Linked DNA regions of Ovis aries. The protein of the gene in region 1 interacts with the protein of each later gene in a biochemical or structural test. Links are inferred from orthologs where the notes say so. Each region holds a gene or a part of one and is shown on either strand. Other genes may lie near its edges.

What was found.
Region 2: the proteins of PRKCA (region 1) and NHERF2 form a complex in vitro, tested with the Homo sapiens proteins (2 studies listed by BioGRID and IntAct, with this or other methods). The link is inferred for Ovis aries from reciprocal best matches to the Homo sapiens genes PRKCA and NHERF2.
Region 3: of the proteins of PRKCA (region 1) and MGMT, one has a biochemical effect on the other in vitro, tested with the Homo sapiens proteins (2 studies listed by BioGRID). The link is inferred for Ovis aries from reciprocal best matches to the Homo sapiens genes PRKCA and MGMT.

Annotation. Positions count from the first base shown.
Region 1 is NC_056064.1:62,092,752-62,097,797, reverse strand, and holds part of PRKCA (protein kinase C alpha type), read right to left. Parts: intron 4,406-5,046; coding exon 4,232-4,405; intron 2,352-4,231; coding exon 2,260-2,351; intron 333-2,259; coding exon 270-332; intron 1-269. UniProt on the Homo sapiens protein: Calcium-activated, phospholipid- and diacylglycerol (DAG)-dependent serine/threonine-protein kinase that is involved in positive and negative regulation of cell proliferation, apoptosis, differentiation, migration and adhesion, tumorigenesis, cardiac hypertrophy, angiogenesis, platelet function and inflammation, by directly phosphorylating targets such as RAF1, BCL2, CSPG4, TNNT2/CTNT, or activating signaling cascade involving MAPK1/3 (ERK1/2) and RAP1GAP.
Region 2 is NC_056077.1:2,105,441-2,110,486, reverse strand, and holds part of NHERF2 (Na(+)/H(+) exchange regulatory cofactor NHE-RF2), read right to left. Parts: intron 3,360-5,046; coding exon 3,180-3,359; intron 1,774-3,179; coding exon 1,620-1,773; intron 1,542-1,619; coding exon 1,498-1,541; intron 1,148-1,497; coding exon 1,085-1,147; intron 852-1,084; coding exon 693-851; 3' UTR 1-692.
Region 3 is NC_056075.1:48,588,531-48,593,576, reverse strand, and holds part of MGMT (methylated-DNA--protein-cysteine methyltransferase), read right to left. Parts: intron 4,111-5,046; coding exon 3,971-4,110; intron 1-3,970. UniProt on the Homo sapiens protein: Involved in the cellular defense against the biological effects of O6-methylguanine (O6-MeG) and O4-methylthymine (O4-MeT) in DNA. Repairs the methylated nucleobase in DNA by stoichiometrically transferring the methyl group to a cysteine residue in the enzyme.

The DNA.
Region 1 (5,046 bases):
GAGGGAGCCGGCAGGGGAGAAAAGCTCATTTTCTTGCAGAAGCAGAAATGAAATATGCCGTCTCTGAGATCCAGAAACCAGAAGCTGGTCCACATTTGCCTGGAGGCTGCAGAGAATGGTGGGTCCCAGCAGGTCTCCATGATGGGGTGGGGGGGATTGTCCTCTCCATGTTGACACCCCCTCTCCCCCCAGCAGAATCACACGCCCATGGAGTCCAGAGGGCCAGCAAAGCCTCCTCTGTGCTGCAGGCACAGGGCCTTGATGCTCACCGATAAATGATTCCTCTTTTATGAAGGAAGAACAGCCCGATGGAAATCTCTGCTGCATAGAACCTGCAACAGAAAACGTCTGTCAGGCGTCCGGCTTGTTCCCTCCGGCCTCCTGGATACTTTCTGCGCTCAAGATCAGGCAGCAAAATGGCACAGGAAGGGGGGACCCTGACCGCCAGAGGCTAGCACTGCCCTACAGGCAGCGCCAACCCTCTGCAGTTTTATGACCCCAGCTTCCCCAAGGGACGACACAGCTGATAAAATCAGCGGAGCAGGTTTATTACCTGTCTGAAAACAAGCCCTTCTTGTCTGGGGCAGGTGGACAGGTAATTTAGCGCTTAAAAGAAATTTTGAGCACAATCTTTTAAGAGTGGCTGTCTGCTAGGTGGTTCTGTCAGGCTATAGTAGATGGAAGCAAATTCCCATTTTCCCCGTAAGGACAGAATACGTTAGCGTTTGAAAACACCCGTCTGCCCTAGAAGACAAAGGTCAGTGTGAGCTGAACTCTGGGAATGGCTTACTTACTCCCACAGCCTCACCCCAGGCGCTGGGGGAGTGGGGCCCAGGCCACAGTTCATACCTGGTGCACCCTTTAAATAATTCAGCATAGGAAGGAGTCACAGCCGTCGCTTCAGAGTTGCTAATGGATCAATGTCTGAAACTCCAAAGAAACGCTGAAGGAGGTTTTAAAATCTGCTTGTGTTTAGTTCCTGAAGCCCGAGAAGCCACAAGACTCTGCCTGTGCAAACAGCACTCTCGTGAGGCTTCAGTAAGCACACGTGTTTACACGAGTGTGTCTACAGGAGCGGAGGAAGGGCCCCTGATGACAAGGGCCACACTCTCAACAGGGGGCCGTCTCTGAGTGCCGGTGGGAGGTGGGGAGGAGAGCAGGGGTCACGGGTGACTTTCCTGCGGCTTTCTCCTGTTTTTCTGTTTTGTTTTTTTTTTTTTTTTTAAATATGAAACGTTCCAGCAACACAGATACAATTGAAGGTACTAAGAGGGACGCGCATGGTTTCTGGATGGAGGGAAGCTGTTCTGCCCTTGGCTCCGACAGCCCTGAGTGGTTAGGCTCAGCTCTGCCATTGGCTTGTTTTAATGCTTTGTAACTAACAACATAAGAGACGGGATCAGGGGACAGCTTTCTGAAAACGGAAAGGAAAAATAAAAGCAGAAACCAGCAGCCCTGCCCTTGTTTTGAGCGAGCCCGCAAGAACGCCCTGCTCTGCCTCAGGTGGGTCTCCCCAGGCCGGCTCACCCCACGTGGGCCAGAGCGGCTCGGGTTTATTGTTTAGACTGAACCAACGCTGGAGCCGGATGGAGGTTTGCTCAGGTGATTAACTGGGGTTCCTGGCACAACAAATCTCCACTGGGGGTGAAAGGGCTTTGCCTCTCTGAGTTACCCGCGACTTCCTGGCCCTGGAATACGGGCTGATTCTCCAGGTGGTCAGGGCTCCGCCTCTAGATTCTCCGTCTTCCCTGGAGCCCGCGGCTCCCTGACGGCGCGGATTCCTGCCTCCCGGCCTCGAGGTGCGCACACCCCACTGAAACCTACCCGGAACTCCTCCTGGACGGCAGCCCGTCCCAAGCCTACGGGGGCGTCACCTCGGCCTCTCCAGGACACTGATGCCCCTGGGGCTCCAAGGCCGCTCCGCTCTTTCTGCAGGCTGTCCGCACCTGTGCTACACCAGGCCCCCACCCTCCCGTCTCCTCTGGCCGGGAGGCCCCGATGCTGTCAGGCCCCCGAGGCCCCCCAGGCTCTCTCGCTCCTAGCCAGGCCCTCGCTCTGCTGGGCGCAGCACCCAGAGCCCCTTCCGCTGCTCAGCTCCTGAGAGAGTGGCTCAGGGGTCGGGGCAGCTCCCAGGGACGGAGGAGAACGAAAGTCTCCGTCTCCGTGGGACGCGCGGGCGGACCCCGGGGAGGCAGCGGCGCTTCGCCCCAAGCTGGGCGGAGCCCCACTTCCAGAGCTGAGAGCACTCGAGCTACTCACACTGCTTGCGGCTCCTTGAACCTCCCGACCTGCTGGATGTGGTACATGAGGTCCCCGCCGTTGACGTACTCCATGACGAAGTAGAGCCGGTCCTGGGGGCCGAGGAGGGGGCGGTGAGCGGGCTCCCCGCGGCCGGCGGCCCCGCTCCAGCCCGCGCTCTGCTTTCCCGCTGGGGAAACGCGGGCCGCGCCGGCACGTCTGCCCGGCGGAGCCCGTCGCAGTTTTCTCCCCGCAAGAAAGAATTAGTAAAAAGCCCTGTGTGTGAGGACCTCAGGACATGCCCTGAAACCTCAGCGCTCAGTTGCCCTGCCCACCCCTCTGGTTACAGACGCTCCCAATGGTGGAAGCGGCCTCACACCTTCCTCCCTTCTCTCCTACACACAGAATTCGTTTCCAAGGTGGGGCTGGAGTGGAGAGCCCGCAGAGGCCAGTTCTTTAGCCAGTGGCTGGCAGTGCAGTGATGGCCGGCGATGCGTTTGCCCAGAGTGTCTGAGAGCAGACCTGGTGGGCCGGGGGGCTCGTACCCCGTAGAGCCCAGGGTCGTCCGCCGTGGGGTGGGGCTGCGTGTGCGGAGGCCGCCGGGTGTTCTGCATCCACGTTCGCCCAAATGCTGTTTCTGACTCTCTGTGTGCGCAGCACACAGCACGGAGCTCCGAGAGTCTGCGCCTCTGCGAGGACCTTACCCCGGGACAGATGGGAGGTGGAGGGGCTTTAGGAGGGAGCTAAGAGCGCAGCGCAAGGAGACGCTGGCCTCTCTCTTCCAGGGAGCACCACCATGCACAGAGGTCATTGGACACTGAAGCGGTGCACAGGAGGAAAACGACAGAGCTGGGGCCAACAGGCAGGAGAGGGCGCTGGGAGCCTCAACCCCTCGCCTTCCTGTCATGAACCTTCCTTTCAACCTTATTTCTCTGCTTTGCAGCTTTCCAGAGCTTAAGCAGTGGAACCGGGGTGACAGGATCCCGGCTGGGGCTCGTCCCTCTCCTTTGCGTGTTGCTAGATTCTCTTCCGGACGCTGCTGGGAGCTGCTGGGAGACGGACCTTCACTCGGCTGCCCGCGCCCGGCCGCCCCCTGGTGGCCGGGACTGGCTCTGCGGCCCCGCCATCCACTCCGGGCCGCAGGCTGCGGCCCTGCGGGTCACCGAGCCACAGGTTCAGGACGACAGCCGCTGAGGCGTGGAGAGCTTGCCTTTGGCAACGCCTCACTACGGTGCGGCGTACAGTATACACACATACAAATATAAATATCCGAGGGTTTGTATTTCTTGGAGGTTACCTGCCAGCACCATGCCCCAGACTTGGCTGATTAGTGGAAATTATTTTGTCCTCTTTAGTTAACCTGTGTGACAGGGCTCTGCAAACGTTTTCTGCAAAGGGCCAGACAGGAAATGTTTCAGGCTTTGTGTGTGTCTTGCAACTACTCAGCTGTGCCTTTGCAGTCAAAAGCCCCTGATGCCAGGTTAGTGAAGCGGCAGGCTATGTCCTGAGAAAACCACTTATGGATCTTGAAATCATCTACTTTTCTTGTGTTACAAAATAATATTCTTTTTATAAAGCCTCTCTTAGAGCTCAGGGACCATCCACACAAAACAGGCCAGACTGCCACCCCTGAGTGAGCATTACCCAAGAACATCCTCTTCCAGGACATGGGTCTCCTGACGCTCTGATGGCAATTCGGTAGCTGTACCAGGATTTAATGAGCCAGGACTGTGAGTTACCGTTTTGTATCTCTAAGCCTTAACACATTGCCTGGTGCGCGTTAGAAAAGCCTTTGATAGAAGCACTCACAGAATCAAATGGAGTTAATGCCAAGTCTATGAGTAGGGGATGCCCTGAAGTCCCCAGGGGCACCCAGTCTGCTTGGGAGAGGAGGGCGTGGGCTACCGTCTTCTCCCGGGAGGGGGCTGGGGTGTGGCGTGAGCACCCTGTGGCGGGGGCGGGGGGGGGGGGGGGGGCGGGGGCGGGCCCTCACCGCCGTCTGGAAGCTGGAGTGCAGCTGCGTCAGGAACGGCGGCTTGTCCAGCAGGGCCAGCACCCGCTTCTCCACCATGGTGCACTCCACGTCGTCGTCCTGGATGACCACGTCCTTCTTCAGGATCTTGATGGCGTACAGCTCCTCGGTCCCCTTCCGGTCGGCCAGCATCACCTGCAGGCAGATGGAGGGCAACCTGAACATCCGGGCACACGGCACGGGGGGTGCCGGAACTGTGTGTACAGACCCGTCAATTATTTTTAAAGAGTTTATGTGGCTCATTTTTAAAGTCTTTATTGAATCTGTTACAATGTTGCTTCTATTTTCTGCTTTTGGTTTTTTGGCAAAGAGGCATGTGGGATCTTAGTTCCCCGACCAGGGGTTGAACCTGCAGCCCCTGTGCTGGAAGGTGAAGTCTCAACCCCTGGAGCACCAGGCCAGGCCCAACAGGCTCGCTGACAAAAAGGAAGCTGCCTTCAGGCGCCAGTTCCCAAACGCTGCAGTGTGTGTGTGCACGCGCGCGTGTGTGGTGTGTCTGTGTGTGCGCGTGCGTGTGTGCATATGTGTGGTGTGTCTGTGTGCACGTGCATGTGTGTGTACGTGCGTGCGTGCGTGTGTGGTGTCTGTGTGTGCATGCGTGTGTGCGTGTGTGCGCGCGCATGTGTGTACGTGCGTGTGCGCGCGTGCATGTGTGTACGTGCGTGTACGTGCGTGTGTGCGTGCATGTGGTGTGTCTGTGTGTGCGTGCGTGTGTGCGTGTGCGGTGTGTGTCTGTGTGCGCGTGCATGTGTGTCTGTGTGTGTGTGTTAGTCGTC
Region 2 (5,046 bases), on another chromosome or scaffold:
GGCAGGGGCCAAGCCCAGAGCCTGGGATCCTTCCTGGGGGCTTCCCTGCAGGCATGAGGGGCCTGTCCAGAGGTGCCCTCCTCAGGGGCACGGGGCCTCCATCCTCAGACCACCCACCCCAGGACAGGGCAGAGGGCATCTCTCAGAGCCCCTGCCCTGAAGCCTGCGAGCCCCCAGCCCTGTCCCTGGGACTCCCACTTGGAATGGCTGCTGCTGAGGGGGTTGGGGGGGAATGGTGTGCAGAGAAAGGTTTGTTTTATTGCAAGTATTTAGAGAGCACGTCCTGAGGGGGTGGGGGCGGGGCTCTGCTATTAAGTGGAAACATATGTGGAGCTAGAGATCCTTCTGGGGAAAAAAAAAGCAAAAACACAAATTCCTGTAAGTCAGCAAGCCCAGGCAGTCAGCACGGCGGCCAGCCCGTGGGTCACCACCGCCCCTCCCCCCTGGCCCTTGCCCCCCCCCCTTTCCCCCCCCTGCCCCTCACTGTCTCTCTGGGTCTCTCACATCTCGGGGGCTCCCTCTGCCCATCTTGTGGCCACACTCCCCTAACACCCTGCGGGTGGTGGTGGGACCACCCCAGCTTAGGGGTAAGGATGCCCCCTCCAGTCCACCGGGGCGTGGGGAGCTCTGGGCAGTCCGAAGGGCAAGGCCCAGGCCCGTGGGGAAGAGCCGGTGGGGAGCAGGCAGGGGGCTCAGAAGTTGCTGAAGATCTCGCGCTTCCGGTTCCAGTCCATCTGTGGTGCCCGCTTGTTGACCCTGGTGGCTCTCGCCTTCTCCTTGGCCTCAGCTGCTGTGGGGCTCAGGTGAAGGCCGCTCTCCTGAAAAGGGTCTCGCTTCCACGTGCTGCCATCCTAGGGGTGGACACGGTGGGCAGGTGGCCAGTGAGCCCTGGACCCCAGCCCCCAGGCAGGTGGCCCTCCCCAGGGAGCTGGCGCCAGAGGCCACCTGGCAGCAGGCCCAGGAAGGCTTCCTAGAGGCGGCGGCCTCACGGCTCAGGCTGACAGCTCCACAGATGCCCGCCCCCAAGGCCTCAGGCCCCCCAGCATGTGAGCAGCAGCACTGGAGGTGGAGGGGCACCCACTACCTCAGTGTCCTTGTCTAAGCCGGGCAGGTCACTTCGGGACGAGCACACGGAGCCACCATTGAGCTGGGAAACCAAGGGTAAGGTGTGGCTTCAGGGGCCCACCCAGGAGACTGTGCACACGTATGTGCACACATGGACACAAGTGTGTGCACACACGTGCACACCCCAGAGCTGCATTTACTCCTGCATCTGGCAGTGGCACTGAGCCTTGACTGCAAGCTGGCGGTGCCCGAGTGCCCTGTGGGGTGGAGTGCGGCTGGGCCCGGACAGGACCCAAGGGGCCTTAAAGCTGGGAGTGACAGGGCCGGGCTCAGTGTCACAACCATGTGACACCAGGACTGAGGTCTCAGGAGGGGCTCCCAGAAGTGCCCCTGAGGTCCCCGAGCCCACCCTGTCTGCTCCCACCCTCTCACCTGGGCCGAGCTGGTCCCGTTGGTGACCGGCGATGGCAGTGGACCTGTGGGGACAGTATGTAACTGACCACTCGGGTCCCCGATGCTTCACCCCAGCCCTGGGCCCCAAAGCAGCCGCTCACCTTCCACATGCTCCTCGGTGGGTGTGACCCGCAGCCGCTTGAAGTGTTCATCCGTCTCGGGGTCCACCACCAGCAGCTGGGCCTCGTCCTCCCGCGCCTTGATGCTGGCCACCACCTCTGCATGGCGCAGCCCCTCCACATTCTGCCCGTTCACCTGCCACCAGCACAGGGTCAGTGCTGCCTGGGGACTGGTCCCCACCAGCCCCCCAAGCCACCCGGACAGGTGTGGCATCAAATATTCATCAGTGCCGTCACCAGCTGCAGCACCAAGAAGAGCACCAGCTCAGGTTCCCGGAATCTTCCTCCTGCAGAGGACCTGGGGCCCAGGCACACAGACGTGGATAGATGCACACAGACACACCTACAGGCACGCAGGTGCAGACACACACACAGATACACGCGGACACATACAGGTGCACAGGCACGCGCACACACGGACACACCTACAGGCACGCAGGTGCAGACACACACAGATACACGCGGACACACATACGGACACACCTACAGGCACGCAGGTGCAGACACACACAGATACACACGGACACATGGACACACCTACAGGCACGCAGGTGCAGACACACAGATACACACATACAGGCGCACAGACACACACATAAACAGACACACCTACAGGCACACAGGTGCAGACACACAGAGATACACACACATACAGGCGCACAGACACACACAGATAAACGGACACACCTACAGGCACGCAGGTGCAGACACACAGATACACACAGACACATATAGGTGCACAGATGCACACGCACAGATAGATAGACACGGACACACCTACAGTCATGCAGTTGCAGACATAGATACACTCGAACATGCACAGGTGCGCGCACACACATATGGACACACCTACAGGCATGCAGGTGCAGACACACACACAGATACACACAGACACAGGCGCACAGACACAGACATACCTACAGGCATGCAGGTGCACACACACAGATAAGTACACACAGACACACAGGCCTGCAGGCGCACACACATAGATAGATACACATGGACACACCTACAGGCACACAGGTGCAAACACACAGATACACATGGACACAGGTGCACAGGCGCACATGCACACACACGGACACACCTAAGGCATGCAGGTGCAGACAGATAACACAGGAACACACCTACAGGCACGCAGGTGCAGACAGATACACAGGGACACATACAAGTGCACAGACATGCATGCACACACACAGATAGACACGGACACACCTACAGGCACATAGGTGCAGACACAGATATACACGGACACACCTACCGTCACGCAGGTGCAGATACACAAGGACACACACAGGCACACAGAGGCACATGCACACACACACATAGACACGGACACACCAGGCATGCAAGGGCAGACACACACACAGAGATAGATACACATGGACACAGCACGCAGGCACAGACACATATACACACGGACACGGATAGGCAGACACGTAGGCGTACACACACACACAGGCACAGACACACAGAGGCACGCACAGCAGGACACAGGTACACACAGGGCAGCCCGCTCCCCGCAGCCCCAGTGGCAGGTACCTCTATGAGTCGGTCCTGGGCACGGAGACCAGAGTGGGCAGCAGGGGAGCCGGGGTCCACTGAGCGGATGTACTGTCCGGGCCGGGACTTGTCGCTGTGCAGGTTAAACCCGTAGCCCTGGGGGCCCTTCCGTAGGTGGCAGAGCCTTGGGCGCAGCTCCCTCAGAGGCCCGTTGGCATCCTGCAGGCGTCGGGGACACCTGGTGAGGTTCCAGCTCTGACCTCCTCCCATCTGAGAGATGCTGACGCCCGAGGCCTCCAGCCCACACCCACCCCACACCCCGCTGGGTGCCAAGGCAGCGCTTGGCCTCATACCCCCACCTGATGGTAGCCCCTCGTCTCAGAGACCCGTCCTGGGGTGTGGGGGTGCTTAGGCCACCTACGATGATCCAACTTTGGGATCTTGGACAAAGGCTTGGTTTCCAAACCCCCAGTGGGCCTGTGATGCGATCAAAGGCCTTACAGTGGGATTGGGAGAATCCACTGGGTCGAGGATAGGGCTGGGCGCAGACCCGAGCCGAGGAGGGAGCAGGCGAGGTGAGCTGCCCCGTGTCTCTGTTCCAGGAGGGCAGCCCCGCCTGTTGTTTACTCCGAGTGTGGGTCTGCTGGGGTAGGGCTCCAGCTTTGTTTACACTCCCACAGGTCTCCCTGGGGCTGGTGGCAGCAGCTGCAGCTGTGTTTGCCTTCACATTCCAGAGCAGCTGGAGCAGCCCCCATCCCCACACGCTGGAGCCCAGTGAGCAAGCAGAGGGGCCTGCCTCCCACCTGCCCCTCTGACCCCGGGGGCTCCTGGTGCCCTGAGGGTGCCCACCCACACCCAAGGGCCCTGCCTCCGTTTACCTCTGGCATCCTGCAGTAGGGCTATGGGCCAGGGGGTGCAGGGAGCCGTGCAGGCAGGGGCCAGACCCCAGGACCCCACCGGGGCCTAAGGCAATGACCAGCGCTGAGTGGCCAGCGGCCGCGACGCTCAGTCTAACATGGCGGTGGCCGGAGGGAGCAGGCGGCCAGCAGCTCAGGTTTCCCCAGCGCTTAGGGCTCAAATGTGCGTGCAGGGGCGGGGGTGCTCACCGGGGCCTGGCCTTCCACCTCCCTGTGTGTGGCCGGGGACACTGGGCCAGGTGGGGGGCCACACTTGGGAGAGCCAGCCTCCAAGCCTCCAAGCTCACCCCAAATCCCCCAAATCTGACTGTGGCCACCCTGCCGTGGAACCAAGAGTGCCCTTCCTTACAGGATGGTACCTTGCCCCAGCATGTGGGCCTTCCTACCGGTGGGGAACACCTTCCAGTCCAGCCTGGGCCCCTCCTCCAGGGGCCCGTTCCTGATCCCCAAAGAGTCCCTGATCTCCAAAGCCCCCCAGGAACCCCTGCTGCAGGCCACCATCTGCCCCAGAAATTCCAGGGGCTGGGGCTTCTGCTCCTCCATCCTCCAGGGGATCGGCTGGGCAGACACCCAGGTTCTCCAGGACCCCACAGACTGGGCCCTCTCCAAACACAGCTGCAAGCACAGGTGTGTGGCTCTGAGGCAACTCTCAGGCTGGGGCTGTCAGACCACAGGTTCCGAGGCTGGCCAGGGCCGTGTGGGACCCTGGACGTGTGACATGACCACACCTGGTAGGTGGACGCGGGCCCAGATGGCCGAGGCACCTCACACAGTCACAGAGACCAGACATCCAAACACAGGCGTGCAAACAGGCTCCACAGACCCCTGCGGTGACCTGTGGTGTGAGAGACAGCCCTCCCCTGAGGCTCTTCCCACGCCCTCCACAATGGTTCCAGGCCGAGGTCTTTCAAGGCCCCCAAACAGGAAGCAGGACTAGGGGGCATCCGGGGCCATGAGGCCAGACTGAATGCAGTCACTTCCGGTTCGAG
Region 3 (5,046 bases), on another chromosome or scaffold:
TGTGGGGTGGCCCCTGTCCCAGGAGGGTGGCTGGATTCCTGGCCCTGTCCTGTCCGGGACACGCTGCTCAGTAAGGACACGGCAGGGAGAACATGCCTGACATGCATGCTGTGACTCCACGCCCTCCGTGGAGCCCAGGCCAGACTCCCCAACCTGAGGGTGCAGCGAGCCTCTCGTCCGGGTCCGAAAGCTGCTTGGAGGCCCGCATTCTGCACGCCGCCCCGGGGGACCACAGAGGCAGGGCCCGGAGGTGGCCGTCTGACCTCCCGTGCCTCACAGACCAGCCCTGACTCGGATTTTGGGGGGTCTGGGTTGCCATGGTGACGTGTGCTGTCTGCGGAGTTCTAGCCCTGCGAGGAGGGCTCGGGCTTCCTCCCCCGCACAGTCTGACCAAGCGAGAAGCGGCCACACTGGGGGCCTGCCCACAGCACACAACTGGGGGGAACAGGAAACTTCAGGAACAGATACAGTAGTCACATTAATAATTGCTGGGAGGACACGATTAGATAATACACAATTCAAGTTTTTGACTGATAAGGAGGTAGACACTAATTCAATTTAGTTTTATAAATATTTCGGCCCCAGTTCAATTTTCCTCCCGAACAGCAGACTTCACACACAAGCTCTGCTTTTCTTCCCTCTTGCCCAACAAGCTACGGACTGTGAGTGTGTAACGCGGCCCTCTCTTTCTAAGCACCATGCAGATGACAGCCTGGTGGCCTGGAGTAGCAGTTACAGAGACAGCTACGGTCAGTCTTCATCTTTGATGGGAACTGGTGACTGACCAAACACACACGAGTCTCACCTCCAGAAACGGGAACACTGCTTCTGCTCGTGCCAATTTCAGTGGCAGGCTCCAGACTGTTAAAATAATGAAACCTGCTAAACTTCACTGTGGCCCTAAGGACATTCCAAAGGATCCACACCCTCCATGCCCTCTCCTTTAAAGCCTGTGCTGCATGAGATGTAATCTTCATCAATAACCAAGCAGCTCATAATATCACGGCTGCACTGAAATCTTCACGCTGTGAAATCTAATTCATCCAATACATGAATCCATCACTTACACAGACCCTTTCTCGAATGCTATAAAACTTCCAAACCCATAGATTTGTCTCCAACAAAAATAACATGAAGGGGCCTTTCAATCAATAATGGAATCCCTCTGATTCTGGTGCTGGCTGAATATTTTCTCCAGCTTTGCCTTTGTTCTTGTGGGCAGCAGCCCACAAGGGAAAGAGCTTGTTTTCACTTGCGGCCTCATCAATACCTAAATCCTGGTGAACAAGTGACACTGAGAAGCTGTAATCAATAGCTCCCTGCGCGTTTTTTTCTTCTGGTCAAATGGTTCAGCCCCACTGACAGCCCTGACACTTAGAACATGAAGCTAAGTCTTTATCAACAGCCATCTGGGTGACTGGCAGGACAAGACTCGGGGGTCACTGAGGCTCGTGGCGATCTGCGAATAAACGAACTCCTCAGGAATGCACTTGTTTAGGAAAAGGTGGGGAAACTCTCTGCCAAGTATTGATTGCTTCTGAACTGCATTTAGCAAATTCTGAGGATGAACAGGAAGGGGCTTTATCAGGCAGGGTGTGAGCCCTTGTCAACCTGCCTCACCAGAAGACTGCCGCCCCAGGGCTGGGTCTGGGACAGGGCATTCTGGAGGGCTGCCAAGTCATTACACCTGGGCTATTAATCCATTCATGGAAAATTCTGGAAAAACCAAGGGCCTGGGGTGGGCTGAAACCCCCCCAGCAGCAGACACCACCCCTCAGTCTGCAGGTGAGCAGCCCACGCCTCAAGCACAGGCCATCACGGGGGCCGGCGCGTCCTTGTTTACTGCCGGACATGGAATGGGCGCACCATAAGCGCCAGGGTGTCCTGCAGCTTCTGCGTCCATCTGTCTGTCACGCTCCTCCTGAACACAGAGATGGCTTCATTGCGTATATCTCCAGGCCACACTCCCTGTGCCCACGTGTGGCTCTGTGGCTGGACTCTGCCGTCGGCATGAGAAGGGGGACGTGTCCACTGGGTCGGCCCCTTATCCCTTCACTTACCTGGGTCCCCTTAGGACCCCTCAGCCTGCTCTATGGATGATCCAAAGACCTCTGAGCACGGCTGACTCTGCTGAGCTGGCCCAGCTGCAAGGCACGCAGGCTGTCTCCTTCCGGGAGCACCCCAGCTCTTCTGAGCTACCCCTGGAGGCATCTACTGGGTCCTCTGCAACTTTCTGGTCAGGCTGGGGTTCCTGTGTGAGGCCAGGCAGTGCCCTGCAACAGAGGGATGCCCAGGGCAAGGCCAGTGGCTCACAGCCACCGCACCACCCTTGTCATGGGACGGCACCACCATGAGGGGCCACGGTGCAGGCAGGATCCTCCCCGTGTCCTCAGGCCACCTGGGCACGCGCCCATGGGGACGTCAGGACAGGGACTGCATGGACAGAAGCGTCTCAGGCCCCGTGAGAGCCTGCTTTACAGATGTCAGGGGCTGGGGCCACAGTTGAGCAGACACAGTCACAGAGATCAACAGCAGGAGGAGGCAGTCCTGCTGCCTGCAGGACAGTGAAGGTTTCTGAATGCTGCCTTACGCGCTGTCGCCAGCAGCCACGGCCTGGCCACTTCAGAAAGTGGGGAACTGCGGGTGTCACGAGGGGCAGGTGTGGGCTGCTGTGCACGCCAGTGAGCGGGGCTGCACGTGCCGAGGGGGCAGGCAGTGCTGGGATGAAAGGCCAGCCTCAGGGAGGGGAAGGCCCTCAGGGAGAGGAGCAGAAGGACCAAGCATCCCCAGGGCATGAATGGAGTGCAGACAGACGGGAGAATTTCTACACAGCTCGGGGACCCTGGGATGCAGGGAGCAGGCACCTCCAGAGCTCACCCAGAGGCCCTGCGTGGACACACAGCACGGGGTGGGGTCACACTGTCTAACAGAGTGACCTGGGAGAAGGCGGGGGCCTCCAGAGGAGAGGAGCCACGTCAGCGTCACTGGGAAGCCTCAACAGTTACCCCTGGAAATTGATCCAGGGTCACCCACGTGTGCCACGCAAACGAGGCCTGCAGCCTGTGGAGATGGCGTGTGTGACTGACACACGGGGACGCTGCGATGGAAGCACGAGAGAGGCAAACACGACACCAACCCACTCCCCCAGCCCCTGCCGCGCGGGGCTCGCGGCCTGCGAGGTGGCGGTGCTGTCATCTGCCGCGCACTGCTCCTGACAGTCTGGGGTGTTTAACACGGACGCAGACTCTTCTCCAGGCAAACGGACACTACAACAGCTCACGCCACCCACAGGAGCCGCCCCTGCGCCCACAACGGTGCGGTTCTGTGTGGAAGGCCGAGTGGCCGCCCTCTCAAAACACCGGCCCTGTCCCGGGGCCACCAGCTGAGGGGAGGGGGCCGCGGGCCATGCTGGGCAAACCCCGCCTCTCCCCAGCGAGCATGGACGGAAACCGTATTGGAGTAGCTCCCCGCCCCGCGATGTGACCATCTGCTGGCTTTTCCTGATTGGATGGCACTCTCCCACCATGTTACAGAGTCCCTACCGCTTCAGGGAGTGACTGTCCCAGGGCGATGGCGCCCAGGTCTGCAGAGACCCTCCTAGGGCGACAGCGCCCGGGTCTGGAGAGGCTGTCCCTGAGTGACAGCACTGGGGTCTGGAGAGCGTGTCACGGGGCCACAGCGCCCAGGTCTGGTGGGCACTGCAGACTAACGACACCGGAGACGTTCCAGGGCCCCGTGCAATCGTGTGAGGGCTCCCAGAGGCCGAGCTGCTGTGTGGATGGGGTGCCCTTCCCACCCCCTGCAGGGTCCTCAGGCGAGTGTGGCCTTGGCCAGGCCCACACCACAGCCTTCCGAGACTGGACGACCCCCTTCCAGAGGCCCTGACGTGAACACCTCCTCTCCTCCCCAGCAGCCCAGGTTGCCTCTGACACTCGCCCCGACACCCCGCTGACCGCGGCCACACACTCACAGGGTTGCTCCTCATGGCTCCTCCCACGGCCCGCGCTGCTCTGGGGTTGCCCGCCAGGGCTGCTAATTGCTGGTAAGAAACCGTTTCTCCGAATTTCACAAGCTTCAGCAGCTTCCATAACACCTGTCTGGTGAATGACTCTGAAAGGGAGAAAGCAAATGACGTTATTGGGACAAACGGCTCCAACAGCTAAGATACAAATAGCTGCCAGCCCTGAAAGAGAAAACGCAACAGCGTACACAGAGGTGTGACTTAATTAAAACCCAGCTCCGCACGGGGTCCTGCCACCACGTCACTGACGAGGAGGACGCGCGGGAGGCGAGCCGAGGGCGGGCCAGCACCTCCACAGGCCTCGCCAGCGGGTAGCACAGATGGCTCGCCCTCCCACCTCCCCAGAGCCCCACGTGGGCCTGCGGTGCGCTCTCCTGGGGCCCGCGCGGGTGTGGGTCGGCACATGGCTCACTTCACACATAGAAGGCCCTGAGTGCGCACCAACTTTGGAAGCTCTGTACTGCTTGCTCAGTCTCGACTACAGCTGGGATGCAGAAGGAAAAGGAGGCCGTGGGCTGGACCACGGTCTGACGCTAGCTTAGCCTCCACACCCAAGAGCGAGCAGGCTGAGGATGCCAGACACCACGGCCCACGAGGCTGGCGGTGACCTTGGCTCCAGGCATCTGCAAGGAGCAGAACTGCAAAGATAAAACAGCCTTACCCCCATTTTAATGAGCAGTCACGTCAAGCTGCTGCAGGGGTGAAGGGTGAAGAGGAGGACACAGGACAGCCCCTCCCTTGGCTGTGGCTCAGAGGGATCCCAGGTGGGCAGGGCACTGCAGAGGTGGGCACGCGCCGGGCCGTCTCATTCGAGGCCTCTCATCTTTCCCCAGAAGACGCGTGCCCGCGAGCATGGGACAGGGAGCTGTCCACCACCCCCCTCTCCAAGGCGAGGGCAGGAGCGCCCGACACAGCGACAAAGGGAAGGATTCCACGGGCAGATCCTGGGTCCAGAACAGCACTAATTACACTTCATGCCAAGCTGGCCAAGTGCGATTTGGTTCTTAAAGGAAACACACCCTTAC